Linked DNA regions of Daphnia pulex. The protein of the gene in region 1 interacts with the protein of each later gene in a pairwise test. Links are inferred from orthologs where the notes say so. Each region holds a gene or a part of one and is shown on either strand. Other genes may lie near its edges.

Region 1 (16,292 bases):
TATACCGTTAAGCTGCTGCGGCAGTAAAAGAACAAGAAAAAAAAGGAAGAACTTCACATCAAGTCTAAATGTGGCGTTGCGATAAAGAAAGAAAGAAAGAAATAAAATAAAATAAAAAGGAACAGAATCGTAGTAGATTGTTGAATAAGGGCCCGTCTAGTAGCTGCCAAAATGCCTGTTGGGTGTCGATTTGGCTCTGCGCTCGTTCGATTTTCGTCTTTGGGTTTGTTTGCTTTGTTTTTTGTATTATTTTTCTTAAAAGAAAAGCGAGAAGGGAGAAAGAAATAAAGAAGGGAGTTGACAACAAGCGTCGGTGGGAGAAAATGGTGTCCCGCCTTATATTTTGGCTATACATCGCATCTTCAGCTGTTTCGGACATTAATGATGAATATCCCCTTGTAGCCTTTCGACTTTTCCCTCTTCTTTCACTCACACACTCTCGCTTATCTGTCCGTCTCTTTTTTTCTCTTCTCTTTTGCGTCCATATAGGAAATTGTTGGGATGATAATGGGTTCCGCTTCTTGATATCAACGCCCCAGTTTTGGGTTTTGACCCTCCTGTTTTTTAAGGAGCCCGATCGTTTTGGCAGCCTCACTTAAAACAAATCATCCTTCTTCTTTCTTATGCCGCCCATTCATATTGATGTTTAGACCCGTCTCGGCAGAGGCTCAATTTTTCTTTTTTTTTCTTGGCCGTCACCTTCTTTTTATTTTCTCTCTCTCTCCTCTCCTCCTCTCTATTCTCCACATCTTTCCGTTGATGATGTAACTTGGGATTTTCCCTCGCTGATGATAAATCATATCGCTCGGGTTTTCTGGGCGACCTGACAAGTCCACACGCCCTCTCATCGTTTTCTTTCACTTCCCACTTTGGGGCTTGTGTAAGTACGCGGACGGTCGTTCGCTCTCTTTTACACAACAATCGGCTGTGGATTGTTACATCACGTTGCCACCGACCCGAGAGAACCCGAGAGAGAACTTGTTTTGTTGATGCGGCCTCTATATATAGGCCACCAGGAGTATATAAATATATATATACGGTTGTTGTCGGTAGTACTACTATATGTCAATCAAGCGGGAATGTCTCGTGTTGAGCGATTTTCATAAAAGAGCACTCAACAGATCGCGCAGCTGTGAGTAGCGCGGCAGAGTGTCGAGCCTTTCTCTTTCCGTCATCTGCCACCGCTCTCGCCTCTTCTTCTATTAAATATACAACGAATGCCTTCAATACTTAATGTCTGAGGCTGTACTATATTTATATCTTTTTTTTCTTTCCCACCCACCCATCCCAGCAGGCTTCTTGAGGCGGGATTTCGATGACAGCAGCACTGGTGGTCGTTTCGCTTCATAAAAAGGAAAAAATACAGATAAAAATAGAGGATCCGAACGTGACCCATCAGCCAACCCTATCTATCTCTCTCTCTCTACATATACAATACCCTTTTCTGTGTCGTAGGCCATCCCCCCCCCCCCTCCATTTCGTTGCATTGAAAAGAGTCCTGCTGCATAATAATGGCAGTAGCCAAATAGGTTGGCAGGGTAGGTTAGAATCTATGTTATTATATTCCTCTGGTTTCTCGTTTTCGGTGTAGTAGTACTAGTATTGGACCGAAAACCTTTCAAACCGACCTTGCATGTGTGTGTGTGTGCATACACACACTGCGAGTGAGTGCACAGAGCGCATTGATTTCTATTGATATTAAAAAAAAAAGAAGGGAGAAAATGGGGTTTTTTTTTTCTTCTTCGTCTGGCGGGGTGGTCGATGGACTGGAAAGGACTGATAGCGTGGAAGGCGATCGCTAGTGCTAGACACACAGATTTCCCACCCTCTGCGTGGTGGCGACGTCATCGAAGCTCTAGGCCGCTGCTCATCCGCACACATTTCTGTCAGGACAAACACGTTCCTCGGTATTATATAAGAATCTTCTTCTTCTTCTTTTTCTTCTGGGAATGTGTATATATGACTCCTTATATTCTTTGCGGGGTGGTTGGGTGGTGGCCCCGGCATTACTACCGAGAGCTCGGCGATAATGTTCAGCGCCTCTGTCAACAAGTGAACCACCACCACCACCCAGTCGAGAGAAAAGAGCAGCAGCAGCAGCAGCGAAGAAACAAAGAAAAAAGAAATGGGGAAAAAGGCAGAGAAAACAATAATAAAGAAGAGAAAGAAAGAAAGAAAGAAAGATGGATGACTGGATACGAAGGAAGCGGAAGAAAAAGCAACTCCACCCTTTTTCTTTCACTCTCTCTCGTGAAGGAGGGGGGAAAAAATGATGAAGAAAATATGGGAGCAGGAAACCGCAACTGATAACAAACGATGGTTGGATTTCCTCTTTGCGAACACGCAGAAATGAAACTTTTCGGGTTAGCTTTTTTTTTCTCTTTCAGATTTTGTTTTGACTCTGATGTTTTTGCCTCTCTCTCTCTTTTGAATATCGCATACGTCTTCACTCTTCACATCAGCAGTTTAATACATCCAGCATACAAGGGGGCATCGCGTATATAGAGAGAAGGGGGAGAAATGGTGGAAAGATCGCCCCCTTATCTCTCCGATAGAGAGAAGAAAACATGTTTACCACTCCTAGCTTTGCTCCCGTGTGTGTTGTGTGTGTTGTGTGTAAAAAGGGGCGTCCCGAGTTCTTCTTTTTGCTGGGCGGCGGACGATCCGGCAGCAGCTAGGGCCGTCGATTCCATCAACAGCAGACCAGTTATGTGTGGAAAAAAGTTAGGGTGGGGGTGGGGAGGTAGTAGGCCAGCTATATAGCGGAGCAACAGCAGCAGTTCAATCATCAATTATCGTCTCGTTCCGCCAAGCGCGCATCAAGAACCTGGCGAAATGGAATGGATGCAGGAAGCCGCCGCTATAGCTCATCCGCTGCGTGCGCTCCATTCCGTTTTTGCCTGGGCACAGTCGACTCGACTTGGCGGAAGGAAAAGAGGAGAATCGGCCGCTCCTCCTCCTCCTCCTATCCGCCGCCGCCGCCATCACCGCATCTCATTTATAAACGGATCAACTCGCCAATCGAGAATTGAACGAGAAACCCGGGGCCGTCGTCTTCGTCTATAGGAGAGAAGAAAAAAATATAAAAAAAAAAAAAATAATACCCGGCGCGTTATCGCCCGTCTTCCTTGGGGAGCACTGCTGGGCGCAGAGAGCAGCAAGGATTTAGTATAGACGCGCGTCCGTTGATGATTCCCTTCACCTCCGCCCCTCATCGAAATGTTTCCAGTGCTCATTATCAACCAATTCCGTGACCTCTCCCGCTCTCTCAACAGCCTCCAGACTATATAACCGGCGCTTCCAACTTGTTACTCTGCTGCTTCAAATATTCCTTTAGCCTATAGATTGACACACACACACACATACATCTCCTCTACCCCCTTCCCCATCTAGTATATATGTACTGCTTGTGCCCAGCGAATAGTGCTATCTACTGCTGGCTGGGCGATGTGATTGAAATGCCGAATCGACAGTTTCTTTGGCAGTGAGGACACGAATTTTGAAAGTGGGGTGGTTGTAGTCGTAGGTTGGAAGGGAGGGACGGAGTTTCCTCCTTCCTATTCTTTTCGTTCTGTATTCACTCCTCATCCGTCGGTCCCCCCTCCTCCCGCGTGTTCGATTTTCTTCGTTACAGCCGAGTGTGTAGTAGGGACGAGAACCTGTTGTCGAGGGAACCGTATCAAACCCGACATATCCGAATCGATATCAAATGAGCTTTATCGATTCGTTGTCTTGTTTCCAAAAAACTTTAGCCCAATCCAAATAGACACACTATAGATCTCTCTTTCTATACCGGGAATTCTGATGTATGGGCCGGCAATCTCTCTCTATCAAAATAGATGCCAGTGCAGCCGTCCCCACCCCGTATTCGAACAGTGGCCATATCTGATGAAACTTTTCCTGTCACAACAAGCTGGACGACGCTCCTTCCACGTCTAGGAAAAGAGAACGCGTTGTCGCCCCCATCTCTGCCCACTGATGGCACTCGGACCAGCAAAAAGGACACGACCCCAAAAACTGAAAAAAAGAATTGCTGGTACATTGCCAAATAATGCAAGGCACTATACCGGTACTACATCTTTGAAATCGTGAATTTTTCGGGCATGGTCGCATTAAATGCGGACTATAAAGAGAACGACCTCCCCCAAAAATGGGACTTGAAAAAGAGTCAGAAGAAGATAATTTCGTGGGCGCGTCATTATCAAGAATTTTTCCCGTCATTGGGCAACATTTTTTGTCAGCGCGATTTAGCGACGCTTCGAGACGGAAGATATTGGGGCCTCGCGGTGAAAGAGAAGAACGGCCGCGTGATATTTTTCACAGCCGTGCCAAATCAGTGCTCTTGCGTCACACGGGCGGCATTCGATCATCCGCGCTGATGGCGCCGGCGTCAGTGGGTTGAATTTAATTGGACGACACCTTGATGATCGGTTTCTCGGCGTTGGCAACACAATACACATCCGCAGCCAGCGATGATGATTCAGCAGTCGCGTAAAGCGAGGACGGACGACTGGCGAGAGAATATCTGGCGACTGACGTATTGTTGTGTTGCCGGCTTTCGCTGGCGTCATGGCAATCTTCTCTCCAACAGTATAAACGCTGACTTTGATGTTTTGATGTGACGGTGGGTTGAACAGGCCCATTCTGATGGCGAGACTCGACGGCTTCTTACTCTTCTCTCTAGCAGAGAAAGATGCATATCTAAGCGGTCTTTGGATAAGAGGAGTAGAGAATAGAACGCGCCTCGTCGTCCACTTTAAATCGCGCCTGGCTGGCATGCGGCAGCCAAGCGCTACGCCAGCAACAGAATTTGATTTTGCCGCCACTATATAGTACTATCGATTCTGATTACTTTCCCCTCCTTTCCTTTCTTTTTTTTTTTTCATTTTCTTTTATGATCTTATTTCATCTCCGCCGGGTTTTTGTTTTGTTACTAGACGCGGAAGATACAGGGGAGGGGGGATAGGGTCTTATCTGCTTTGTCTTTGGCTGCGCGTTCAGTGAAGCGACTGAAAGAGAAAGAGCGAGCTGTTGTGCAGCATCAGGCGTGCGGGAATCAAGAGAGGGTTGACTTCTTCTTCTCCTTCCCCCAGCATCTCTCTCCCCCCGCTCTACACGACACGCACCTAATCAGATTGTTGGCAGACAACGGCCCTAATGATCCTGCTGGGCCACCACACACACACACACACACACACGCGGGAGCTCCAAGATATATACCCCGAGAATTTCTCACGACTGGCTGAGTCCTCCTCTTCGGTCTCGGTCGGTCGCCGCTCATCAGCGTCGAACAACGCCGCTTGGTTGCGCCTCTCATCGGCGTGGCCAAGAAAAGAAACCGCGGCCGAATCAGAAAATCTTTTTCGATGCCTAGCGATTTTTCGGCTTCGATCCAACGTACCCGACTACCCGTGATGAACTTTATTATTATGATGATGATATGGATGCCAAGGTTATATTTTTTTTCTCTATTTCCCAACTCTCGGCGTACATGCAGTTGTTGATGGTAGCCGGTATAGAGTCCTGTTACGAGGGGGAGGTGTAGGTGGCGGTGGAAGATGAGGAGGAGAGCGAGAAAATGCATTGGGATCGATCGGAAGAAAAGGCAATTCAATCTGACTCGGGGCGTAGATCGACGACATCCATTACACATGAATGTGTACAAGTATATATAGAAGGCGCAGTGTGTGCGTGTGTATATACAGGAGCTGTAATATAGATATTTTCTCTCTCGGCTAGCATCCCTTGTTGGATAGTAGCCTACATTTTGATATGTTACAACGAATGCACGTACATACAGTAGTAGTACATACATACGTCGTCTCTCTCTCTCGGTCTCTCTATTCGGCATTGACGTCTGCATGTAAGAGCGAAATATAATTACGCACGAAGGCGGTTCAATCGCTCGAGGGATGCGACTAACAATCTCATCCGTCGCCGCCGCCTTTGCCAACCACCGGCGCCGTCCTATACGGCGTCGTCCCTTATATGTGTGTGCAGTGTATTCGACTACCTTAGGGGCAGGAGCCAATAGAAATGGAAGCAAAGGAGAAATGAGGGAGGAAAAGGCGGATAGCCCAAGAGGGGGGAAAAAAGAAGAAGAAGAAGAAAAAAAAACACGCAAGTCGATGGTATAAAAAAGTCTGAATATAGTAGGAAAGACATTTTTTTTACCCAATTTTTTTACTTCCAGGAGAAATAGGAGAGACGGAGGGTGGTGACCTTCGAGAAGAAGTTGGGAAGGCCTATACCGAGTGCGGTTCGATTAGCGTACACGCTCGATTCGGTCAAATCTCATCTTACGATGAAACCAAACCCAACAGGAGCCAGGAACAGGTTCGCCCACTTTGCTCGAGCTCTCTTTGAGATTGCCAAGTCAGGCGGACGGACCGAGATATAGAGAGAAAGAGTAGAGTGGGGGAGGAAGAGAGGTTGAGAATATAGAGCAGAGAGAGAGAGAGAGACTCTATTGAGTCGTAGTATAGTACAAGTCCACGTATGGAGACTCAATTCGGTTTCAACCAGAGTCCTCGACCTGCTGCAAAGCAATTAGCCATCAGCCAAGAGTTCAAGTTTGCAAGGGGACACGGGCCTAAAGTCGTTCATCTAGAGATGATGATGGTCCAGCAAAAGGGAAAGTTGGAGAGTCTCCGGCCTGCTGCTTCTCTTTGTCTTACTCCCTCACACAACTCCTTACCTTAAACTTGGGTCCAACTCTGCGACAACTACGACGCCGTTCCTACCGTACCCAACCAGTTGGTTCCTTGTATATTTTCATCTTCTTTTTGTTTTTTTTGTTTTTTTTTCCCCTTCCCATCCTGTTTCTTTATCGTCTCTCCAAGTCTCCAGTAAGGACGGCGGCCGCACACATCTCTTTGTCTCTATTTGCCACTTTTCCAACAGAACAAACTACTATAGAGTCTTCCAAGTTCCCTCCCACTTTATCATATATCGTCCCTTTTTATAGTCCGAGAAGTTGGCCGTGCGCGTTAACAACAGGTTGAACGAAAATGGAGCGCTAGAGCTGGGGGGGCTCTCGAAAGATCTATAGAAAAGAGGCAACAGGTATTATAAAGACACACAGAGAGAAAAGAGAGTCAGCAGCCGAGTAAAAACGAATCACCATTTCCATTTTGCCCGGCGAGAGGCCAGCCCCCCTCCTCCCCCCCGAAAGGAAATGAAATTGTCTTTTCTCCTTCATCTTTAGCTTTTCCGCCTCTCGACTCTTTTTCTGCCCATATATTTCGACTGTGAAACGAGACCTTATTACCTCTTGTCGAGTTCGTATCAAAACCTTTCGATCAAGACCAGGTTTAGCATCTCAACAACAGTCCCAGCTTTTATCAAAAGGAGAAGAAGGCCAAACGAGGTAGATTCACCAAATCCAATCTCCACGCAACCTTTGGCAAAAGAAAGAAACGGCCGCCGCCGCCGCCGCCTCCACTACATATAGTATGCTACGTAATACAAGTATTTCCCTTTTTCTCTATTCTTTAAAGGAGAGCCAGAGAGCTAGGCCCTTTATTTCTTCTTCTTGTGGCGCATAACGGACACCTGGCCTTCGACCTCGGATAATATCCCATGCAACTCTCGCCTGCTCTGATGCGTGTAAAAGCCGTTAAGCGACATCTCCTCTCCATATCAATAGCCGATGGAGAGACGAGAAAAAGTTGAAAACGCCAAGAAAATGATAATAAATAAAAAAAGGAGGGGGGTAGAGCTAGACGAACCCATCAATTCGGACAAGCAAGGAAGGCATTAAGGAAACTCATTCATAGGGTAATGTTGTACGGGGAAGCACCCATCTCTGGCTCTCTTTTCCGTTCGTTCGCTCGCCAGCACGCGCTCTCCCTTTTCTTTTCTTTTTCTTTCTTTCTTTCTTTACTTATTCTTCCCCTCTCGTGAGTGCAGCGCTTCAGTAGTTGCGCTTCTTCCGCCGCTTCATGCAGATCCTATGCGGCTTTTTTGGTATCGGAGCATCTACGGCGCTCTCTCCCCGCCACGCCATTTAACGGGGACGCATTAGCATAAAGCCAATCTAGCGCTTCTGCTGTCGCTCGGACTCGGCAGCCGATGACTACAGAAAGAGAGGATAGAAAATCGTTTTTTTTTGCTATCGGCCCGAAAATATCAGCCGGAAAACGACGCTGCGACCGCCTTGTGAAAATGGGACGACGGTGTGTAATAGGCATGAAAGTAAATAACAAGAATAAAACTAAATCAAATGGGATTTTTGAACGGGGCGACAGTAGCTGAGGCTCGGTCCAGGAACGCTGGGGATGAAGATGGGAGAAAAAGAAAAGTCTTATTTCCGGCGAGAGAATATTCAAATAAAGTCTGCCTCAGTTGTCACGATTGGGAACAACAGCGAAACGAAATCACTTACCTTGTTGAAATTCTGGGTTTGACGGGAGGTTTATTTCGTCCATCTATTCTTTATCGTTCCTTTTTCACCACCTCTCAGACCTCCCTCTGTTGTATTCGATTTTCTTCCCCTTCTTTCAACGGCGCACTTTGAGGTCGCTAGGGCGATGTGGAGGATCGAGAGAGTAACGAGTCACGTTCTGATGTAATTACCAACGACCAGAGTTAAATTTCGTATTCTCTCCTTCCCTCTGCTTGTTCTCGGGTTGCTCTTTACTCCCCCCCCCCCTTCTTCGTTCGACGCACTGGTCACGTTCTTCATTATTGCCGAAGGATTATTTGATAATCCACGTCCACAAGGAGATTAGTTGATTTTTTCCCCCTGTCGATTCTCGTTACTGTTTGACCTCACTTCGCTTCTTCTTTGTCAATGTACTGTCAAGCCTTTTTTTTCCCCGTTCGGGTCTGAGAGGATTATAGTAGGTTAGCCACCCAATCTGTCTGAAGGCTTTCGACCAAGTGTTACACTAAATATATACTTGAATTACTTCGTTTCATCCATACCTTTAACAAAGAATTTTTATTTTCTTGAACTTGAATGGTCGACTTGCGTCGCGAACACAATGAGATTTGCTTTTATAAGCATTTATTGAATGAATCAAATTCAGCCGCACATTAAGACGATTAACGAATTAAATGAGCCTTCGTTTCTTCTTTCACTTAGATAAGCGTCAAAGTCACTGCCACAAATAAAAAAACACGCAAATTGTTGAGACTATTTTGCAGAACCCTCGCCTTTGGACTGTGTAGAGAACTTGGGCTTGTGAAGTTTCCTTACATGTATATGAAATCAAATCTGACAAACAAAGTCTAATGATTATCCCAAGAAAATCATACCGTGATTAAAGTTTTAACCTGCTCATTGTTTGTGGAAGAGAGGATATGATGGGACCATATCCCTGAGAATTGTCGTATAATTCAAAAAGGGGTGCAGCAACAAGTTTGTAATTTTTGGGTACTGCGAAGAGAGCTAATGTAGAATAAATATCATGTTCATTAAGAGGGTTAAAATAACTAAAATATCCAAACTGCTCAAGACGAAAAGAATTATTTATACCTTTTTCTTGAAGCTGAACCAAGAAAAGTTTCTTATGCTCCTTTGGTTTTGTTATGTGTGGAGGTATATATGGATATTGAGGTGGTTCAAAATTTGGACGCCACCAGTTTCCGACTGAATCTTCAATAAGCCAATCTTGCACTACACCATCTTGTCTTCCTAAAATCTAGACAGGGTGTTAAAAAGTAATAAACTAGTGAATTTTTTTCTTTAAATACCTCTGTTAGTAGTCTCTTCAACCCTTCGATATCATCTTCTCCTGGGTTTAACTCTCCCCCTGGCCTTTGAAGAAAAGTTGAAGATTAGAAATGAAAGGTGATGTTTTGTAAATTACTCTTACAGTTTAAAGAAAGTGGTTCCCAACTGTAACAACAAAACATGAGGTAGCCCATGTTCATGAACTAGTAAGATGCCTTCTACACTTCGTCTCATTCCAACTTTATCAAATTCTTCCCTCATTCGTTGAAATCGTGCAGGAACTGATGGATCTCTTTCAAATAAAGGATCTTTGGTTCCAAATGTGTAGTTTGACAAAGGGTACCTAATATAAAGAGAATGTTGCTGTCAATAAGTGTTTGAAAATAGCAGTTCAATAACATTGTTTTCTTTCAATCAAAACATTGTTGCTCTTTGTCTTCATGTGGCATTATTTCCATAAAAGGTTAAAATACTTACAAATTGATAGTTCTGTGCAACGTCAAAGATCCCTGATTGAATTTCATGTTTGACATTTCAGTTTTTATTTCGGTTTTTATTTCACTTTTAGGCCAACCGACGCGATTCGTACAGGATTGTATGCAAGCCATGGTAAAGCAATAGTAGCATTCAGCAGACTGACAGAAACTGGCATTGACAACGTTGCAATTTAACTGAAATTTTATTCTCTTAGCCAGAGCTATGGAATACTGGTACCGCCACTCATATGACGAGCTCTTCCATTGCTTTTTTTCTCTGGAATTGAAGCCTGCCCTGCTCCTTAGCTAAAAGCACCACAGCGGGTGTGTGGGGAAATAGGGTATTCGCATGGCATGGTATAGGAATGGAGGGAAAAGTGGAGGAGTGGCAAGGAGCGAGATCGATATCTTAGCTCCGATTATCTCCGATTTTCACTATCGATTGCTAAAGTTGGCTTCAGCCCCAGATAAAATTTCCGAGAGGAAGAGTTAACATGGCAGTGGCGCTACCAGTATTCTATAGCTCTGCTCTAGCGATATCGCGCGTTCCCAAACCAGAGTTATAGATGTAGGGGAAGAGGGGCTATTCCGGACAAAATTTAGCAAACTGGTTTATAGTTAATATTTCTTTAAGTGCAAGCTCAGAAAAGTATTTGTTTTGGCACCAAAATGTAGCCCAGGGTTTCTTCTTTCAAAAACTTCTTTTGAAAATGTTTTTTAGTAATAAATGGCTTAAATATTAACGGTTTAGTTTCACTGACTTTTTGTCCGGTTTCACCCCACAGAAGGGGCTTTTTCGGACAGTTTAAGAATATATATATTTTAAAGATAGAAAAGCAAGCTTATCAGCTCGCCGCGAAGGGATAGTCGTAAGCCAGTTGAAAACTGTCTTAAATGAAAAATTCAGGGCCTATTGTTAAGTCGGACTTTTTGCTAAATGCCTTCCAAATTTATCAGAATTTTTCTATAAATTCAATGTTCTTTCTATGAAATTTTGTGAAAAAAAATTCTACCGCAAAATTTTGATTTGTCTGAGTCATGGTTAACAAAGGGCATGGGTCAAAACAATATTTTTATTCTAAAAAAAAAGTAAATCTATAATGAGACTTGAACCATGGCCCTCTTCATTATCATGCCAGCGCTATAACCAAAAATCTATTTTTCGTCTTTTAATTCGATCCATTATCAAATGTGATAGACAATTTTCTCTTTATTGCCACGACAGATGTCGTGACAATAGACAGTTTTGACCGTCGCGCCACGACATATGTCGTGACAATAGATCTAACCATGAATGTAATGACCAGAAAATTCTTATTCAATTCCTACTTGTTGTGTTATTGTGCCCTTCTTCCCGCGACCGCTAGATGTCGTGCGGCGCTCAAGCGCTGAAGCTTGGAAGCAGCGAGCAGGAAGAAGGGCAGTCTGGTTTCGGCTGAGTCCGTAGAGAGAAGCTCCTTTCGCCTCGCTTAATACACTCCGTTAATTTACTTAAATTAACTACCCGGATTACAACCTAACACTACTCTGTGTCATGTCTTTTCTTCTGCGTCTGAGAAAAAGAAAAATGAGTTAAGATTACGTTGTAATAAAAGGAGTGGTTATATTTACCTTAGCCTTAGCTTCCAATTTAGCCTTCTCCCTGTCGTACTTTTCCATTTTTCCAAGAATGCGTGCCTTTTCAATTACTATTCATAAAAAAATGGATTAAATTAGGAATTTTAAAAAAATCAAACTAAATTTTACATTCGCGTTTGTAGTATGTCCGATATTCCGAAACTTGATCTCGCAACTTGTCGATTTCTATCTGCTGCTTTTCTATTTTAAGATTCTTTTGATATATCTCCTCCTGCAATTGCTCCACCTTGAGAGACTTGGACCTTTCCTCTCGATTCTCTTTGTCTTCAAGAACTTTCAAATTGTTAGGGACCAACTTCGCAATTGCTACTGTCTGTTTCACCAATAAAAAAGTATTAATACTATTGTAACAAGGCGGTGAATAGGATTGAAGACGTGTATTGTAAGTCACGATAAACGTTGAATACAGAGACTGAGAGCGAGGAGCTCTTTGCCGGACCCTTTTATGCTGGGTTGGGCGGATCTATATGATAGGCTAATATGTGCCGGTACATGGGTCGGCGGATCTATATGATAGGCTAATTAGTGCTGATATTACATGGGTCAGCGGATCTACATGATAAGCGTGAGACATCCGTTACACTATTTAACATGACAATCAACCATAATTGTCTTTACCTTTTGCTGGGTAGCTTTCATCTTGTTAGCAGCGTTTACATCTAGATGCTGAGGCACGTCGGCCAGAGGCGGCCTAGTTATCACTTAAGAGAAAGATGAGTGTGATGGAATTCCTTGTTTTCATTAATGATTTTTTTTTAGATTTATAGAACAAGAAGAAAATGACCATAAGTGAAGATCTAGAAACATCCAATTCCCACGGCGGTGCCAATGCCAAGTTGGCCGATAAAAAACAAAATTGCTGTAATTGTCTTCAATCGAGTGACGTTGCGTGGACTTAGTGACTCTGCCTTTTCAGCCGATTGGCCAAAATCGGTGCCATCAACGGCGCACAGGATAGGAACTTGTCTGTTGCCAAAAAGTAGAAATTTGTCCACCAACCTGAAATGAAAACCAAAATATTTTTAAGGAATTAATTAATTTACTGAATACATAAATATATATTACCAGGAACAGCATTTGCTTAAATATCTAAACGGACAAATAAAGCAGTGATTCGAATACTAGGAAAAACACTTTAAGGGATGACAGACAGTCATCTGCGTGAAAGCCTTCTCTTTGTTTGACTCATTCAAGCAACATGTAAATGGGCCGAAAAAGGGCAAACAAAGTTCTTAAAGTGGCTGTCCCAATATTGAAGCTGCCACAAAAATAATTTAAAAAACAAACCTTTGATTGATGATGAGAAACAAATACAGACGAATGAAATTTGAAAATACTAGAGAATTCTTAATGCTGAAAACAAGCCGTACAACGGCTTGTCTGTGGGTGTGTTGAAGTCCTAGGAGGCAAAGGCACCGGCCAATGCCATTTCAGACATGACGGAACCGAAGGATAGAACCCATACCAGACCAAAAATGTTGTAAAACTGGAGGAACGTCACCAAGTAATGGGTAAAGCCAGTTTCAAGACCCACCACCTAGAACGATGAAATACCGATCGAGGCCACTTAGAGTGAAACTGACCCAAAATACCCAATGCAAAGAACTTGGAAGACCCAAGGGAAGATAGGGAAGATTGTTAGACTACCAACAGTCCTAAAACAAAATCACAAAAAAAGTTATTAAAAAACGATGAAGAATTGCCAATTAACTGTTAATTCAATGTACTGGCTGGCTTTTGGCTTTGTCGATGAGGACAATAGCCCCACGAATGTAATTGCGCCAAAATATGAGCATTAAGACAATGACGACCATGAAACTTACCAGAATAATGCGAAACATAAGCCAACTTTCCTCGGAGTCCAAGTATGTGGCCAGGTTTGTGGAAATGGCCAATTGGCCAGCGTTTGCTTATTGGCTCCAGAGAATTCCTTTAGTTCTTCATATCGCGTGAAGCACATAAAGAGACCTAAATAAAAAAATAAACGAATCAATAAATACTCAATTGTTGTATGAAATATAGATATGAGAAATTACCAACTCCCTGTAGAGCTAAGAAGAACAACTTAGCACCAGCTTTGCATCTGGAGCTACCAATGACTTCCTGAATTTTTGCTGAGTTCACTTCTGTTATTTTTGCTTATTTTCTGTCTCTAATTTTTCAAAGCCTAACAAAATCGTCCCCCTTGATCCCATTCAAACATTTCTTCTGAAGAGATTCTCTGATAGGGGTCATGTCATTAGTACCTCATTTTTTTAAGAACCTTCGTCACCAGTACCTTCATTTGGAAATGCATGTCACAATTACCACAGTTTATATGTACCTTAACCCTCCTTCATACCTTTTATTTTCTTTACGCAGATATCTCTGAATTCACAACAAATACTTTTATGGAATACCGTTTGTACCACTTTTGTTTCACGATGAACTTGTTTTTTTTTCAAAAGAAAATATAAATTTGTTAATAAAGTCAATCGGTTTTTTATATAATATATTGCATTTGTTGTAATTTTTAAATTTAATATACCAAATTTTCCCTGAGAGATTTAACCTTGGTAAAAGATGGAAGGCTATGCCTTGGTTATGGGCCCCAAACTGTTGATTGTTTCCCCAGGGGTTCCAGCGTGTAAACGGGTCATTTTCTCGATTTTCAGTAATTTTTTATGTGATTCGCCGTATTCATCTTCGTTCCAATGTTTCCAAAATTGAAACATGTTGGTTTTTTATTCAATTTTATATATTTATTTGTTTGATCGAAATTCAAATTTTGTTCGTGAAAGTCGGGCTGTGATTGGTTGGTGGCAGGTTGGTGGATTTAGGGACCCTCCTGTGCCTCGAGTCTTTGTTTTTTGGGTGAACTATTCTACAGTTGGATTTTCCATGTAAAACTGTATGGTATAGGGTATATTTTGTGATGAAAGGTTGGTTTGTCCATTTTTAACTTGTGTTTGTTTAGAGATGGCTAAGGCGGCTGTCGTTTGTCATTTGTTTTTTATGTTATGCATGAGGAATTGGGGGACCCTCGCTACGTTTCGAATAATTGTTTTTTCGTTGATGTTTATAGTTTAATCGATTAGCCATTTCATATTGCAGCCCATAGGTTAATTCCCATTGATATTGATTTCGTTGTAAATAAGTTAGTAGCATTTTAAGAAAGAGCTAGAAAAGTTGTACAGACGTGAAAACTATCCCTGTACATTCACCAGTCTTTCGCGTAACGACATCTAGTGGCAATGAAAACTCCTAATCTAACCCGCCGTAGCGTTTTTACTAGCACTCTTAATCTATTTAAATTTTTACCTATTTTAGCCATCGCGAGCCTTTATTATGTGCAATATTGCAATATCGATTAATGTAACCGGTACTTGGTTAGAAAATTTCGTTGTCCCTTGGTTTTCTATTATGGGGCAGTTGGACATTCTGCGTTGCGATTTCTCCGCAAATGCGAAAATTTCATTTCTGTCCAAGTTGGTCTGTGTCGCCTACAGCGTCTTATGGGAAAATCAAATTCTTCTTGCTAAAAAAATTGTTTTCTTATCTATGACTCTGATTTCCCCCTTTTTCTTCCTAACAGTGAATACTTCATTCATTTCTTTATTAACTAATTTTTATTTCTATCCCCAATTCAATCTGGTTAATTTTTAATAATTTTTTTGATGACTGTATCCCTTTGTTCGTCTCCTGTAGGAGACGTTTTTAGACGTTTCTAGAAGAATCGACCACTCTACGAACGAAATTCTTCTGCTAAAGGAGACAAAAAAAACAGAAAGTTGGTTTTTCCATAAACTGTCACTGGCCGTGGGCCGATAATGAGATATTGCAAGTAATTTACACTGAAGTTACTAATGACAAATACTTAAGTGAAAAGAGGTAGACTGAAAGCAACAGAAAATTATTTTTCGAATGAGATAAGTGAAAAAAGAAATTTATTTTAGAACTGGAGAACTGTTATGGTAGCAGTGGCTTATCTTTTTTCATCTGGGACATATGTTTTAACTATATCTGAGCCTTGTAAGCTGTTGACTTTAAAATTGCATTGATAAAATGTATGTGTTTTTATGGCTTAAGGGTTGAAAATAAGTGATATAATTTGATGAAGTTATTGGTCAGAGACGTCAGGACTTCATTGTCAATCAATTCATAAATTTTACTGAATCTCCTGGTTGTAAGATAAAGAGGTTTCAACGCCCGAGGGAGTTCTATATTTCTTGCTATCATGTACTGATATAATTTTTATTTGCATCTCAAGAGTGGTTACTGCCAGGGGAGTACAAATGATCGGATACATCCCGCATCATCCTGGATGTTACCATTGTTTCTTTTAGGTGATTTACGTGGTGCTCGTAGCATTACAGGAGATTCATGGTTTCTCAACAATGATAACATACAAAAATAATAGCTTTCAAATAACTGTGATAATAAAATATTAGAAAAATTAATGAAAAGATGACATTCTCGGCAATCATTGCAGAATATAAAACAGTAACTCTTCAAGTAAA
Region 2 (16,464 bases), on another chromosome or scaffold:
TGAAGTCGACTTTCGAAAAATGGTGCCCTTGTCTCGATTACAATCGTAATTAAAATTTTTCCAAATAACTTTAAAATTATTCACTCATGTTCTAATAATTTAATATACAGATTTGATGACCTGCTGAGTCAAATAACTTCAGTTGAACTACCGAATCATGTAGGATCACTACTGGGCAAGAAAGAATATCACTATGTCCTGTCTTTTCATTTCACGCCGCGCATGGAAGCGCTGTTATCTCAGTGGCTTTATAATGTTCTGTATCACGGTTTGTTGAATTGCGCATGATGTTTTCAGTATTATTATTCAATTTAATTATTTGATGGTGTCATCAAAATGAAGAGTTCATGGAAAGACCACAGGTTCACGGCAGAGAAGGAAAGACGCTACTTTTACAGAGAATCTTAGAGTTCCAACAAAATACTGGACGGAATCTCATGGTATCATTAATTCTCTTTTCCTTAAACTTTAAGAAATTATGTGAAATTCTTTTTCTTTAAGGTCGTTTATAAATTCCTATCGTTATATCTCCAAACTTGGGATGGAATTCAATTCCGTGATCAAATTTTTCAACTTTTGGCGCAAATTCCTTTTCTCTCATACCCTGGTTTGTTTTAATCATTAAGTTAATTCGAATATTTGCAGTAAGATTGAAATTTTTTTCCTAATTCAGATCTTTATGGAAATTTCTTGCAAGTTTTGGAGGGTTTGTTTCACTCCTGTGATACATCACATCGATTAAAAATCATCGATGTATGTCGAAAGCTCATTCATAATTTGGTATGTAACTGTTGTTTCTTTTACAGCTCATGCATTGAAATGAAACTTAAAGACATTTTTTTGTAGCTACTTCAACAATTTGGGTCTGTTAAAAAAGCCAAATTATTATTCCAGAAATCGGAAAAAACAGTTTCACCAGGTAGTTCATGTATTAGCTTTTTTATTTAACCACCTGCTAACAAATATCCGATACTTTAGATGAGATTTTGAAGTTAGTGGAAGGTACCTACGTCATCAACGAAGTTATACGTTTTACCGAACGTCTTTTCAATACGGCCTTAACGTCTTCCTCCGATTCTTCACTTGTCTTAAATTCCCTTTTGTTTCATTTATGGGTAAGCTACTTTTTGAAGTCCAGTTAAAATAACATCATCTAACAAATCTGATGCGCAGCTTATTGATCTGGAATCGGAGTTTAAATTGCCATTCCGGACCTTCTGTCAACCTATTGCCGTTTATATGGCCTTGTTTTCACCGGCTCCAGTGACCGTTTCACTTGTATGCAAACTTATGTGCAAGTAATTAATTCTTTTATTTTTCAAGCTAATAAAGATATTTATTAACTGGAATTTCTTGAAATAAAGGTACGGTGAATTAGGGCGAAATCAACTGATCGCTATGTCTCCACTTCCCGAATTGGGAGAATTTCATCAAGATTCGTTGGAGGAAGCTGCCAGATTGAACCGTTATATTATCGATATATCGAGATGTTTAGTTTATCACAAGGTTCCATTTTGACATGCTTTTCTTCATCATGTATCATTTTGAATATTTATATGTTTTCTCGGCAGGCCTTTGCACCAGGCGGAAATTCGATGTTAGCGCTATTACCCCGGAGAAACCTGAAAAAACTGTCCAACTTGGGTTCTTTCCAGTCATCTTTTGTTTTGGAAAGACATCCTGCATTTACTGGTGAGTCATTGATTTTTCGTGCTTAATCTTAATACTAATTTAATTTACTCCCGTATTTTAATTTATGCGTTGTTTGACGTAGGTATTTCCCGTCGATGGCTCAAGTCTAAATCTGGAAATGAAAAGTCTTTGAAGCTCTTTGAAGAAGTTGATGCCGATTTGGTTAGTTCTCTCATAATTTTGAATAAACAAACAAACAAAAAAAAAAAAAAAAAACACAAAAAAAGATAAAAACAACTATTAAGATTAATTTGATATTAAATTTTTTTTTCAGGATGATTACACTCGATACTTGTTGGGTCGTTATACTGCAATAATGGACTATATACAACAGTTCCATAACAGCACTTGACATTGTGAAAATGAAATGTAACAGAATATTCTTCGTCTAAGATTCTTCAATTTCTTGAGAATTTTATAAGCACAGTACTTCAATAAAATTTGCTCAAGTTAAAAATTTCTGTTTTATTCTTCTTTAGTCAAATTTTAGCAGTAAAAAATGTATTTTTTCAGACTATACATCCTTTATGAGCGATACGCACATCGTTTTTCGGTTAAAGAAACTAGTGTGGAAGGCAATCGGTTTCCCTACATGAAACACCGTTGCTTAAACAAAAAACAAACATCGTGCTAGCGAGTGCCAAAGTCTGTAGTCAGAACTGAACGTAACCTCATCTGAAGTTAATTAAAATTTTGGTTTTCCTCTCCCGTTTAAATTGCATTTGTCAAAATTAAATACTAAGCAAATAACACCATTCAAACGGGAAAAAGCCGTCGGGCTTTTTATTCTTAGTAAAAAAATTATATATATGCCCAAAGAATACGGAAAACTGTAATCGACCGTAAGCTCAGTTAATTATTATGTAAGCCGTTGCTGTCGTTGAATATTCATTATCATTTATGTCGCCCTTGTCTTTCCTTTGTCTTTGTTGTGAAATTCAGTGAATTACAATCTGTTAAAACTATAGATCACGATATTATGGATTACGTAATGAGCGCACCGGTCTCATTTTTCCTTCCTACACATTTCACGAACCATCATTTGTCACCTGATAACTTGAACAGATTTTCTCAAAAAAGTGAAAACGTTATGATTGTTATGTAAATAAACATTTTGACTAATGTATAAATTAACTTCTGCAGAATCCGATTGCGCAGTAGTGGATCAAACCTGAAAGGCCTCAATAATAATAGGCGTTTCATGAGGTTTTAGCTATTACATTATGAGGAAACTCACGGTAGTATTTTATTCAAAATTTTGTAAATTTTTCCTTGTGTGAGAAAATTATGTTGGCTTACATCCTGTAAAACGACAAAAAAAAAATTTGAGTCGCGTGTTTTTCCCCAATCCGTTTATGAATAATGAATGAATGTGAAGTGGACACTAGAAACGTTAGCAATGTTTACTAAGGTTTTAAAACTACTTCTATTAATTAATGGAAAAATAACTATTTTTTGCTTCTAAGAATGATAAGATAAGATTACAAAATTTAGCCGTACTCATATGTTTAAATATAACGTTTCTTTCAAACCCTTTAACATAGTACTTAGCACTAGAAGTAGATTAGTAAACCATTTTTACCGACACGGAAATAAATTGTAACTATTTACACAGCGTTTACTAAAAATGCATGTTTAATTGTTGTCATCATAATCTTGAAACGTTCGTTTATATTGTCGTTGGTTAATTTCCCGGCAAAAATCTAGCTCCGGTCAAACGAGCCTGAGTCGCATTATCCGTTAGCGTTGGTTCAGGAGGAGATTGGCTACTGAACCCTAACGAGTGAATCCGATAGATCTGTGGAGATGGTAAAAACAATTATTTTATAGGAATTTAAAACAGAAAATCACAGTAAACATACATCCAGTCCTGATTGCTGATTTGCATTGTCAACTGAATGTGAAGTCGAGTCATTGTTTAAGGAAAATGTATTTTGATTTTGAATAATAGATGAAACAGTTGGAAGAGGTGAACTCTTTATTATTGTCTCGTGGCTTGGAGTTGACATTTTTTTCTTCGATGTTTGTTTTTTACAAAAATGAACTTTCACAACGACGTAGACCACTAACAAAAGAAAGAGCACAGCTGATCCCAAACCAAGCACCAATCTGTAAAATTCCAATTTAAGCACACACATATTTTTATACTACAGACGTTCTGAAAAATTGCCGAAGAAAATGATGTCAAATGTGTTTCTCTTACGCTGTTGCTGTCATCGAGTTATCAGTCGGATTCTCGTTGGGATCCATTATTGGATGGACTGGTGAAGCCACAACGTCAGCTGAATGATCTTCATTTGCGGCGACTAATGATCCCTGATTCATCAGCAAGACGTTATTATGATCGAGGCTTGAAGAAGATCGAGAAAATTTAAGATCGGAGTGTTCGTTGCTCATTCTGATATCCTCCGTAGAACGACGGTTGAATTACAATTACAGTTTCACTGGCACCTTATTAACGAGCGCGACTTGACTCGAAGGGAAACTCACTCTAACTGCTGTAAGCTTGAGTGTGTATCCATTCACCTGTATTCCTACTTTCCTAGCCGTAACATGTCATGAACGCATATTAAAAACACACACCAGCAACACGTGACAAATTGTGTTTTCAATAATTCCGTATCACGACCGTAACTAATGTAAAAAGCTGACAATTTTCCGCCTTCATAACATTTTTCATTAATAACATTATACATAACTAATACCCCAAACTTTGGCCATGCTTCCAATACCGTACCTGACTTAATCTCCATCACGCTACTTACAACAGGAACATGATCTGCAAATTCATGGTTCAAATCAGGCGACCAAAGTCCCCTTAAAACAACCATCAGTCCATTTGAAGCAACTGCTTATTTTACTGATAGGTTCTACTTGTACCTTAGAAACTATTTAGTGAGGCGACATTATTTGGATTTTACATAAATCTAAAGCAATATTCCGCTCCCTTGCTGCGCGCGGCACGTTTCATTGGAATACACACTGAGAATGTATATGGTAACCAATTTCAAACTTTGGCTTTGGCCGCTGGGAATCTTTGACTTGTCCGTGAAGGCCTGTCGTTGCCGAGTTCGAGCGCTTTACGATTGCCTGTATTAATACGAGATGAAACAAAATAACATTTCCTCAAATTGGCTGGTGTTGCTATACCTTCTTCATCGACGCACGCGGTTTGTAATATCCGTTATATCTTGAAGGCAATAATATATATAGGTGACATTTTTATATTACTGCCTTCATCGTCGTAATTCAGGTTTGTTTTTTTAAAAAATGTGTAAGTTTTGCAGGCATCGCACCTTTCTGTCTCCAGTGTACTGAATTCTGTCGGATTTAATCCCTTTCGCAACTCGCCACAACCCGAAATGCTAATCGTAATGAAGAACTTGTGTGAACGTGAAGAAGTAACGTTTCTAATCTTCCTTTTGTTTGGTTCTTATTGAGCTCACAGGGATTGTTTGTTTACTGGTTGACGTCCTGTCCCGGCTTTGTTTAAATGAAATAACCATGAAAGTGTCAATGCAAATCAGTTCCAGAATCATCCAAAACTTTCTTCTCTAATATTATCGTCAGATAGGGTGCTACCATCACCCTCACCGACTAGTTCCTTTACAACTCTGATGGCCGTCTGAGACTTGTGACAAGTAACTTTGTCACGTTGACACGTTCCATGCAAAACCCGGTGTTGTCTAGACTGTAACGAATTTTTAGCGTCGTTTGTTAAAACATGTCTACAAATTTTTGCATATTAAAAACTATAAAGCTTTATGTTACGATCTTACTTTATCTGTGGTTTTTGCTCTAATCCAAGACATGAAATATATTCGAAATTATCGACTTTGAATGAACATCAGAACCACATGCAGCTGGAAAAACAATATTCTTTTTCAGTTTGATCAGCATGGACAACTTTCCTCGAATCCAAATGAGACTACCGACATTTCTATCTAAACTCATGTTTACAATCAGTCTACAATTTGCATATCAGTTAATAAGACGGCAAGAAACGTGTAAAACTAATGAAGACGCTTCGTTCAACCCAAGAGTTAATGGTATGACTGATCAACTAAAATACCCTAATCCATGATCCAGTCATAGAAAATCGTCTAACTGCCATTAGTTCGATATTAAGGTAAGAACAGACCATTTTGGATAGAAACCATACAACGAAGCAAGACAGATTTATGGAACTCCTGATGTATTTGCACAAGACACAAAATTGGCCCATGACTTGACACAAAACAGAAGTGGATTGAATTCCCTTTAGTCAAACAAACCTACAATGAAAAAAAAAATGGTTAGATTGGTGTGCAAATTTTTAGAGATTGTAAGTAACATACCAAAGCCCATGTCATCATCCTCCTCTTCGGACTCTTCCTTCTTCTTCTCCTCCTTCTTTTCCTCTTTGGCTGCTGGGGCGGCAGCAGCAGGGGCTATGAAATAAACATATTTGTTACAGTACCACATTAACAAGCACAAATAAGATATATGATGAAGAGGCTTCAGACTGCAAGGAGTTTTGAAATCACAGTAATTTCATACGATTATTTAGCGAACCATCCGTTTATCATCATTTTAAAATTAACATCTATTGACAGCGTGATATCAAACTAGTATTACCTGCGGCAGCAGCTCCAGCTGCTGGGGCGGCACCAACTCCTGAGCCGACGTTGGTGATCATGCTCTTAAGGTTAAGACCATCCAAAGCCTTAGCGAACAAACCAGGCCAGTATGGTTCTACCTTAACATCGGCAGCTTTCAAGATCGTTTGGATCTTTTCAGCCTACAGTTTAATAAAAATTGAAGTTACCAACATGTGCAGAACTCCGATACAGAACAGCCCAGTCACCTCAACCATCTTGACATGTTCCGGTACAAGGATAATTAACAGTGTGAAAAAATATATTTACCGTGATGGCTACATCATCGTCCAAAAGAACGAGAGCAGCGTAGACACAAGCCAATTCGTCTCTGCTTTGATCAGCCATTTCGATGAAGTTTCTGAACGGATGTTAACAGATAAATGCAAGTCGCCACAAGGAAGGCCTTAGCTCGAAACGAGGACAAGCAAAAGAATGGAACTGAACGAAGCTATTTTCCTATGAGCAGGACGTCTGGTGGCAAACGTCGCAAGTTTCGCAGGGAAGTTGAGTAAACAGTAGGTAACCGAAACGAGTTTTAACAATTGCAAAACTTTTTCCTTCTTCGAAGTTAAACATTTATAAACATGTTTATAAATATTAAAAAAAAATTATATTTTATTGAAACTAATTAAGTAAATCAAATTTTGTCGATTAAAATTGCATTTCTGTAAATTTTAGAGCGGGAATTACAAATCTCATGCTCGTCATGGTAGGTACCAGGTAGTAATCGTAACTGCCGACCGTCACGCAAATAAGAAAAGAAAAAGACTAGGGATACAATCGTGATGCTCTGGCGTTAGCAAACGATTTGCGTACTATATAAAGATTTTGTATATTTTTTTGTAATTTTCTATCAAATAAAATAAAATTGAATTTGAATCAATTAGTGAATATTCTCTATTGCATATTTTACTTTTTAAAATCTGGTTTCTGATTGAAATTTAAAGAGTAATAATTGAAAAAAAAAACACTCACAGCTATATCCATTTCATTATTAACTGGCAGTGTTTGTTCGAACGTATGTTTTCAACTTTTTATAAATAATACGCGATTACCAGAGCTGATTACGCATAGGACAAGTCATATAGAAAAGAAAAACCACCAGATTTTTTCAACTAGAGATTATAAAGGTATATGGCTTTTTCTGATTGTCCAAGATTTCGCTTTTATTTAAGCTCTTTCGTTTGTTCCTACAGGTAAATCAATGAAATATTGTACGGGAAAGCGAATTTTCCCGTTTCTTACCCTTTGGTTTTAAAATAAATAAATTGCCATTTGAATGAAGCAAATTGGATTTTCAAAATTCAATTAAACTCAAAACATCATAATGCAAATAGAGTGACATGTCGAATTGAAAAAGTAACCGCGTAACTCTGTTATTAAGACCTAGTAGCTAGTAGCCAGCATTGTAGTTATAACTTATAACACGATTCTTGAAACCGCTAGGTGTCCTAAATTTGAGGAGGACTTCGGCAAATCAGCACGCAAACACTGAAAAGTGAAAAGTTGAAAACCACTTGTTGCAACTTGCAAGCCAGTGAAATATTATTCTGATATTCTCAAACGGCATAAAGTAGCGCGTTTGAGAAACTGAGTGACAATCGAAGTACAACGAATATCTATAGTTCAGTTTTTGTTACTAAGAAAAAAAAAAACTACAATGGAATTCAATGTTAAAAAACTTGTAGGAGATGCTGGAACTTTGTTTACACGAGCGGTTCAGGTATTTTTCTGTCACTTTAAGACTGTTAATAGGTTATGTAACATTATGCCTGGTTTTGTTTATGTACTTTTCAGTTTACTGAAGAAAAGTTAGGTACATCTGAAAAGACTGAGTTAGATGCTCACTTTGAAAATCTTTCTCAAAGATGTGATTTAACAAAGTCATGGACTGAGAAATTAGTTAGGGATGTTGATTCTGTGCTCACGCCTAACCCAGGTATGAATATTCCAAAGTCTTTATTTTCTTTTAATTTCCCTTTTTTTTTAAACATTCGCACAATTAATTTGAATTCTAGGGAATAGAGTAGAAGACTTTTTAATGGATAAAATTGAAAGAAGAAGATTAGCACGTCTGTCCAATTTGGATTATTTAGGAGTAGACATGGTTGAGGCTGGCAATGATCTAGGGCCTGGGACTTTATATGGTTAGATTTCAACACATTTAATTATTTTCCCATTTTATTGATATATATTGTAAATATTGTAGGTAGTACTCTGCTGAAAGTTGGACTTTGTCAGCAGAAACTGGGTGCTCTTGAACGTGATTTTGCTACTTCTGCAACTCAAGCCTTTGTTGATCCTTTGAAAAAGTTTATGGAAAGTGATTTGAAAGTAAGTTTAAAGGTCCACTGGTATTGTGTTGAACCAGGAGTTTATTAAACATCTTTCTGATAGTCAATATTAAGAGAAAGAAAGTTACTTGAATCTAAGCGCCTGGATTTGGATGCTGCAAAAAATCGCCTTCGAAAATCAAAGACACAGTCTAGTCGACAAATGGTACTAAAATTTAATAATATCTTAAACATGTTTTTATGAAAAATGTATCACCTAGGCTGAACAAGAGGTAAATTTTGCCCAGATAGAATTTGACCGTCAGTCTGAGGTAACTAGGCTGTTACTTGAGGGAATTGGACCTGCTCATACTTCTCACTGTAAACATCTACAAGTAGGAGAAAATGTGTAATAATTTTAAAATACTGTATTTACGACATTGATCCATCCAGGATTTTGCAGCCGCCCAAGCACGTTATTTTCTAGCCTGCAGTGCAACTCTTCAACAATTACAAAAAGAATTGGGTGCTCTTAGCTTGCAAGTTAGCACCTCTGATATCACATTTAATAATCCTAGTACACCTGGATTATCTGAACGTAGGAAAGCTCGCGTTATCTGTGATTACGACAGTCAAGATATTACCGAGTTATCACTTATTGCGGGAGAGGTATTTATGAATTACGTTAAATTCGAATATAATATAATATTATCATTTTTAATATTAGGTTATTGATGTTGTAAGCACTATTCCCAATGACCCAGATTATGTACAAGCGGAAAGAGGACACCAAGCAGGAAAAATCCCTTCAAGTTACTTGGAATTTATTGATCAATCTCATAGTTCATGATATATTCAATTTTAATGTTCACTTAATATTAAAAGCTAAATAAATTAATATAAAATTTGAATTCCATGAAATGTATTTCCTGTTAACAAGATTCCACAGAAATGTACTCGAATACAGATTTTGTTTACTTCTTTTTCGAGACACCAACTGTGCGTCCACGACGACCAGTAGTTTTCGTATGTTGACCACGAACTCGGAGGCTAAAATGCATAATGTTTTGTCAAAACAATGAAATATGAATGATAAAATAATGAAAAAAGTATACCCCCAGTAATGACGTAGACCACGGTGAGCGCGAATCTTCTTCAATCTTTCAAGGTCCTCACGAAGCTTGTTCTCAAGCATGTTGGAAGTGACCTAAGAAAAAACAATGATACACAATCCAAATGCAAAGCACAAATGGGCAAGTTACCTGAGAGAATTTGCCATCCTTGATGTCCTTTTGCCTGTTAAGGAACCAATCAGGGATCTTGTACTGTCTAGGGTTGGCCATAATTGTGATCAATTTCTCGACCTGAATGTAAGTTGGTAATACTTTAAACGCCTGTAAATTCTTAATTGGATAATTAAATATACCTCTTCCTCTGACAGTTCACCGGCACGTTTAGTCAAGTCGATGTCGGCTTTCTTGAGAACGACATTGGCGTAACGTCTACCAACACCTTTAATTGAGGTGACGGCAAACATGATCTTGATTTTACCATCGATATTGGTGTTGAGAATACGCAAAATGTGTTGAAACTTCTCAGGGAGTACCAGCGACTTCAAGTAACATAACACATTAAAAACAAAGAGAATATTATTTACTATACCAACAAATCGTAGGACAAAAGTAGAGAAAAATACCGTACAACAACCTGCATTACTTTATAACTATTCAAAACTAACGATGTCAAAGATTTAGTCAAATGAAAATGCTTACCATGGCGAAAGGATGTTAGTGTAATCCGTAGACCAACTTGCCAGGAAAATGGAAAGAATTGCAAGCTGAAGCTGCACACGAAATGAAAGAAATGTTAAATGCGACGCTGCCAGATTAATGTTTTGAGTCGGTACGCCATCGCTACGGCGGAGGCCAGACGGCATACACCAGTTTAAAACAAGGGAATTACATTTTTAAGATTCCTACACTTGAACTTGTGGCGCCAACTACAACGGAATCACGTATTTATTTACTATTGCTACAGGGGTACCCCTGATTGCTAGATGGCGAAGGTCGCAGTTTGAAAGTGAAATCTTTGAATAAAAAAATCCGCGCAGTCCGCGAGTAGAGTAGTAGATCTCTGCCGTGAGCGAAACGAATTGAAACAAAATCCGGGTTGTGCATTTTGATTTCAATCCTGAAACTAGTGAAAGGAAAAAAGTAAACATACAAGTTAAGTCCTATGGATTGGATGAAATAATGGAATTATAGATCGCTAGAGATTTAATTCAATGTTTAGAAAACCTAAAGCTTGTGTATTTTATTATCATTTTCCTTTTCATGTAATTTATGTTGGAGAACAATTCAGCACAACTCTTGAATTTGGTACGTTTGAAATATTCAGTTCATGCTTCTTTCCTTTAATTAGGGACCAGGGACACAGGGATGGGACTTTTGATTCTTCCCTCCAGGACAGTCAATGGATTCTAGTCGACGAACGAGAAAACGACGCGACATTAAAGAAAAGGGGTCAACCCAAACGAATTCCAAATAGCATTTTTCCATTAATTTAATTTTAATAAATTAATGAAATTTAAAAAAGTTATTATGTTAAACCCCCTTAAAAATATTAATTCCATCATGAATTATAATTATAACTTCGGTAAAAAACTTCGCTGGTGCTAAAAGTGTCTTAATAAAAACAAATTGAAATGATAAAAGCACATTGTAACAGAGAGTGGATAAGTCGATAATAATGTCGAATTCAGTTTAATTGTTCGGATTTAGTGAATACAGTAAACGATTTTTTGCCGACTTTATCTTCAATTATTTATATTTGTTCGATATCCTTATTTCTACACCTAGGGTAGCTGTAAACGATGCGCGCGCTTCCTCTGGGAGAAGTGTAAGGTGCGATGTCCCCTGTGTTAAAAGATAGGGTTATCGAACAAATTAAATTGTCAATTACCTGCGTTAGCAAGGCACCCGAAGGGATGTTTGCGATTTTTTTTTCATTAAAAACTAGATTCATTCATAAAAAACAATGGTCATGTTGTTTCTTAATGCCAAATGACAAAAAATTTTAATTGCCTGACTAATGGCGCAATTGAAATCCATGCGTAGTTCTCTATGCAGACTAATCATCTTTTCGAAATCGAAGTGGCGCTTTTTGCACTTACACGTATCCTTCAACAATTAAAATTAATTTTTGTATTTTCGCTTGATTACCATCTAGTGACAATCGCCAAAACTATAGCCATCTAGTGTGCAATCGAGTACTAAACCCACCCATGCCAGCAAAAAATAAAAACGTGAGTGATTAAAAACCCTTCGGGTATTATTCATAAAACTAAAACACCAAGATTGGAAGGAGGAAAATTTTATCCATGATAAGTTTAAATGAAGACGGGCTATCGAATGGCGTAAGTCGCGACCCGCTTCGCCGTTCGAGAATGGCAATATTAGCCATTAAAGTTTTCTTCTTTAAATGAAGATTGCGTAACCTTACTATGACTAATCCAACTCGACGAAGACGAAAACCAAAAAATTTAATTTTTTTAAATATTTTTTTTTGTTTTTGTCCGATCTCAATTACTCAATCTGCCGCTGTTTTATTTATGTTTTAGTAAAAATTCCGCATTGCGCTTCCGTAAAAAACCGGAAATTTGGAACAACACGCTCAACCACTGATCCAAAAAATTTTAAATTTTCACAGTATTATGTACAACCATGACTTTCAACACAGTATTTTTTTTTCATCATAATCGGTGAGGTACCGCGACAAAAAAAATAAAAAAAATACCATGGAATGGGAATGGCCCAATGTTTTTTTTAGGTCTGGAACAAATTATGCCAGATAACATTTTTTATTTTCTAGGAATACAATTAGTTTTTTTTTGATTTTATGTAAAAAAGCCAAACACAGTTTCCCGATATATGGATAGGTGGCTCAAAACAAAAAAATCGCCGTTCGGATTTTTTTGTAGGATACTGTACATCCATTTTTGGCTGCCCTTCCCTTAGTTATAAAAATTCGAAAACAATTCCAGAAGTAGCCAACTATTATAGCTATACTAAAAAACATTCAATGCCCTCCGTCAAAAACCCGATTTTTGGGAACACCGCGATATTCGACTTTTTACATAATTTTCTCTCGAGCGCTTCCAAAATTCTGGTAGGTACTGTACAAGACAATAAACAACATTGACAAGCATTTCAATGATTCAGTAGTAAGTCTTATCGCAGCTTCCAGCCAAAATGCGTTACAGCGATCTTTTAGTGGAGTTTGCAAACATAAATTGAAGTCGACAAATTGTATGCATACTCAATTTGTTTACAAAGAATAGAAAGACGTCTAAGGCCGATTTGTCGCCAGTTGTCTTGTCTCGTTTTGCCCATGGCCATCAAATATATCAACGACCACAAGACCTTCCACTCTTTTCTCAAAACATATCTTTATCGCTCCGTGTACTTCCCCAATTGATTTCAAACTTTCTGTTCTCCAAAAATAACAAAACAATGGTACTTTAAGCGTTATTTGATCGAATGTTATGTCGTTAAAATGCGCTACTCTCATCAATTGTATGAAAATTTGCTCACCTAAGACCTTGTGTTGATGCGTTTATTAGTTGTGTTTCAAAGTGAGTTTTCTTCTGACCCCTAACGGTCTCACCCCTCAAACATTTTTCAGCTGCCGTTCAAAGCGGTTATATGCCATCGAGTAGTTTCAGATAAGGTTCAAGTTCAAGTGCAAGGCATTTAGAGGCTGGAGATTCCATGATTTCCGCGATGCGTCTTTCTTCTTAAGATTTGAGAGAAGACGATAGATTTGACCAGTGATCCGTAGTAACATCTCCCAGCTATATATAGATGGGTCAATGACATTCCCGATTTTTTTCTCAGCATCCTCTTTCTTTGATGAGACAGTGAGATGAAAACTTGTTGACGTTTTAAACTGACTCACTGACCAAATGGGTCACATCTTTCGATCGGTCAGCCACACAGCGGCGGTTTGACACTGAAAAACTAAGTAGTTCAGTGGCCCACGCCACTTGTTTGTGAAAATTCACTTAACAAACCTGCAAAACACTTACTATTTTAAGTATTCACTTACTTGATTACTCCTTTTTATGAAACAAGTATGAAAAATTGCTCTAAGTATGAAAATGCGTCAAGGAGTCTAAGTGTAGCTGCACTTAAACGATCAGTAGTTGGGGCTATGGTATTTCCAATCCTTTCAACAATATTGCGCGCTTTTGTATTGTCGATGAAAACGTGGATTATATGTGCATAGAACGTACGCTTCATAACCACAGTAACGTAGAGAAATGAGCAACTGAAATATGGGTTTGAGTGCCGTTGAAATAGTTTTCAGGTATAATGTCATGTTTATTAGTTCAATTCATTGAAAACATACACCTACAACATGTTGTAATAGTTTGGGTGTAACGTGAAATATTATTTTGCAATACAAAAGACTGCAGACTGCAGTCTTTGCAGTCTCTGCAGTCCTATTTTTGGCCTTCGATCCCGATCCCGATCGTGTTTTTCTGTTTGGATCACGATCGCGGTCGCGATCACGGAAAAATGATCGCGATCATGATCGCGCGATCGAACGATTGCGATCGTCACAACACTGTCTGCAGTGGACAATTGAATAACAAAGAAGAAAACTGAGAGATAGCACAAAAAGTTTCACTCGGTTTTACAACAAATGAGAGGTGGTCATCGGAAAAATAGAGAGTCATCAAATTTTCGAAAATGAATTCTTTATCGTTGTCTAGATTAGAATCAACACAGTTGATAATCTCCAAAAGACAGGCATGGAATTTTCTATTGCTTTAAGAAACACAGATCCTTTCTGACAGAGTCTGCCAGATACTTTCAAGGTCTTTACAGATGAAATAACAAATTTATTTCGACTAAGCAAGGCAGGGGGGGAATACAGAGAACCACGCCGACAACCTTGAACTGTTTGCTTTTTATATTTATAAAAAGCCAAAAATTGGAAATCTTTTCCGCCACAGAAAAATTCCGCCTCCCCCTCAGATTTTATTGCAAGGCCAAGGAGTTGTTGGTGGTTGAAGGCCAACGAAAACTCAACATTCTTATAATTACAAATCCGTCGCATAACTTTTTTTAGTGGAGAATTTTTGGATTCGTATCTATAACAAGAATAAGAGTATCGCGGTGGCCCGTGCAACTTAATCTGGGAAATGAAATGGAGCAAATAATGAAGTTTGGGGGTAATTGAATAGCCAGAAATCTTGGGATATAGTACAACAAAAGCGGAGTTATGACTCTCTATGTCTAACTGAGTGATCTTTAGCTGATCCTCGGTAAAGGTGTAACACTGAAGAGATGCACATATGCGCAATAGAAGGATATAGTTTGTATACTGTGGGCTTTCATCGCAAGTCACATATTGCGCAAGAGATAGGGGGATCATAATTGACAGTGAAGACATTTAAGGAACGGAAAATGATAATTTGCCGTCGCTCATTACTTCATCAAATTTGATTTTAGGGGGAGTAGTAAATTGCCTTTGCGATTTCAATACAGATAAATAGCAGTTTACTTGGTCAAGATCTTTCCTCTTTTCCGCAATCAAAACTCTCAGTAAGAGTTTCAGTTCCAAGTTCAGGAATCCCTCGTCAGAAAGGTGCATATAATCACTAGGAAAAGCTTTGGTTGCATCGAAGCTATGTAAAGACGAAAGACACGATTGTTCGTTGATGCCATATACTTTCGAGAGCTCTTCTATGTCTTTTACGTTTTCAGCAACTTCGATTTCCTCCACTTGAGTTTTATAGCTTAGTACATCTCGCAATCTACAGTCATGTTCATGATGGACCAAGTCCATCTGTTCCTTTTTTATGTGACACATTCGGCAAGGACTTTCAGCACAACTGACACTCTCTTTAAATCCGGCCATTTTATTACTTGCTGGCATATCTCCGACGCAGTTTGTAAGAAACCCATGCCATTCCCGCTCTTCATTTCTAATCAACAGTTTAACGCCCATTTGCAAATCTGCGAGGTCTTTCAATACCGGTCTCCGAAATTAATCATACCGTGTTTTTTAAGAAGAGAACTGTTTACTACGCCGAGTAGTTGTATGCTACGCAAGGTTGACTTAGAAGTAGGAGGAAGATTCATCAAACTCCAGTAAAAAAACGCCAACTTTTTGCTCCCCTTTCTTGCTTCCGAGCGGATTGGCTGGTTCAACCTCGTCCCAATACAATTGAAAGCCCAGTACTACCCCATTCAATCGTATAAAAAGTTTGTGGGTTTTTACATAGCTCCCATCCCATACATCAGAGTAGACTCCTTTGTCTCCAGTCACTTTAATACGTTCAAAGCTGTTGAGAGTGGCATCGTACACAGACTTAACGGACAACAATTGTTGGAGTGATTTTAAAAATGGAATGATGTAACCTTTATCTTGATTGTGTCCAATTTGTAATGTGCCATCTGCGATGCGCTTCCAGTGATACTCCGCGCAAGAGGAACCGAGCGAAACACAAAGCGGAAGAGTTGTAGGGAAGTTTCTTGCCCAGCATCACTCCATTTTGCTGTGTGTTTTGTAGATTGGGGCCTTGATTTCCGCCATGGCCTGTTTATATCCAGGTTTAGGTCTCGTTGACGAAGGCATCAACAAAGCCAATTTATGCTTAATAAGTAGATTTAAAAAAATTACAAATGCGTCGTCAGCAATAAATGTGGCACAACGCTAGTGCAAGACTATATAAGTTACCTCAAATTCTGTTAACCGCCTCGCAAAAATCTCGTCAATATTTCTTTGGACGAAGGCAACAGTTTCAAAGCTTAGAAAATGCTCATGTCTGAGGGCAAGAAGAAAACCAG

The links.
Region 2: the proteins of cleavage and polyadenylation specificity factor subunit 5-like (region 1) and 60S acidic ribosomal protein P1-like interact in a two-hybrid assay, tested with the Homo sapiens proteins (2 studies listed by BioGRID and IntAct). The link is inferred for Daphnia pulex from reciprocal best matches to the Homo sapiens genes NUDT21 and RPLP1.

The regions. Positions count from the first base shown.
Region 1 is NC_060020.1:7,571,367-7,587,658, forward strand, and holds cleavage and polyadenylation specificity factor subunit 5-like, read right to left. Parts: upstream 10,417-16,292; 5' UTR 10,288-10,416; coding exon 10,157-10,287; intron 10,023-10,156; coding exon 9,822-10,022; intron 9,764-9,821; coding exon 9,700-9,763; intron 9,648-9,699; coding exon 9,482-9,647; intron 9,395-9,481; coding exon 9,280-9,394; intron 9,221-9,279; coding exon 9,199-9,220; 3' UTR 8,994-9,198; downstream 1-8,993. UniProt on the Homo sapiens protein: Component of the cleavage factor Im (CFIm) complex that functions as an activator of the pre-mRNA 3'-end cleavage and polyadenylation processing required for the maturation of pre-mRNA into functional mRNAs.
Region 2 is NC_060024.1:495,180-511,643, forward strand, and holds 60S acidic ribosomal protein P1-like, read right to left. Parts: upstream 7,561-16,464; 5' UTR 6,678-7,560; coding exon 6,600-6,677; intron 6,473-6,599; coding exon 6,310-6,472; intron 6,123-6,309; coding exon 6,030-6,122; intron 5,967-6,029; coding exon 5,953-5,966; 3' UTR 5,871-5,952; downstream 1-5,870. Other genes in the region: centromere protein I-like, read left to right, coding at 1-45, 111-268, 343-440, 502-607, 674-780, 847-919, 979-1,115, 1,174-1,298 and 4 more; uncharacterized protein LOC124201206, read right to left, coding at 3,377-3,490, 3,555-3,801, 3,896-4,089; endophilin-B1-like, read left to right, coding at 7,993-8,055, 8,130-8,271, 8,351-8,479, 8,542-8,666, 8,730-8,831, 8,887-9,000, 9,059-9,274, 9,333-9,455; 40S ribosomal protein S18, read right to left, coding at 9,580-9,655, 9,721-9,812, 9,868-9,969, 10,032-10,217, 10,378-10,380. UniProt on the Homo sapiens protein: Plays an important role in the elongation step of protein synthesis.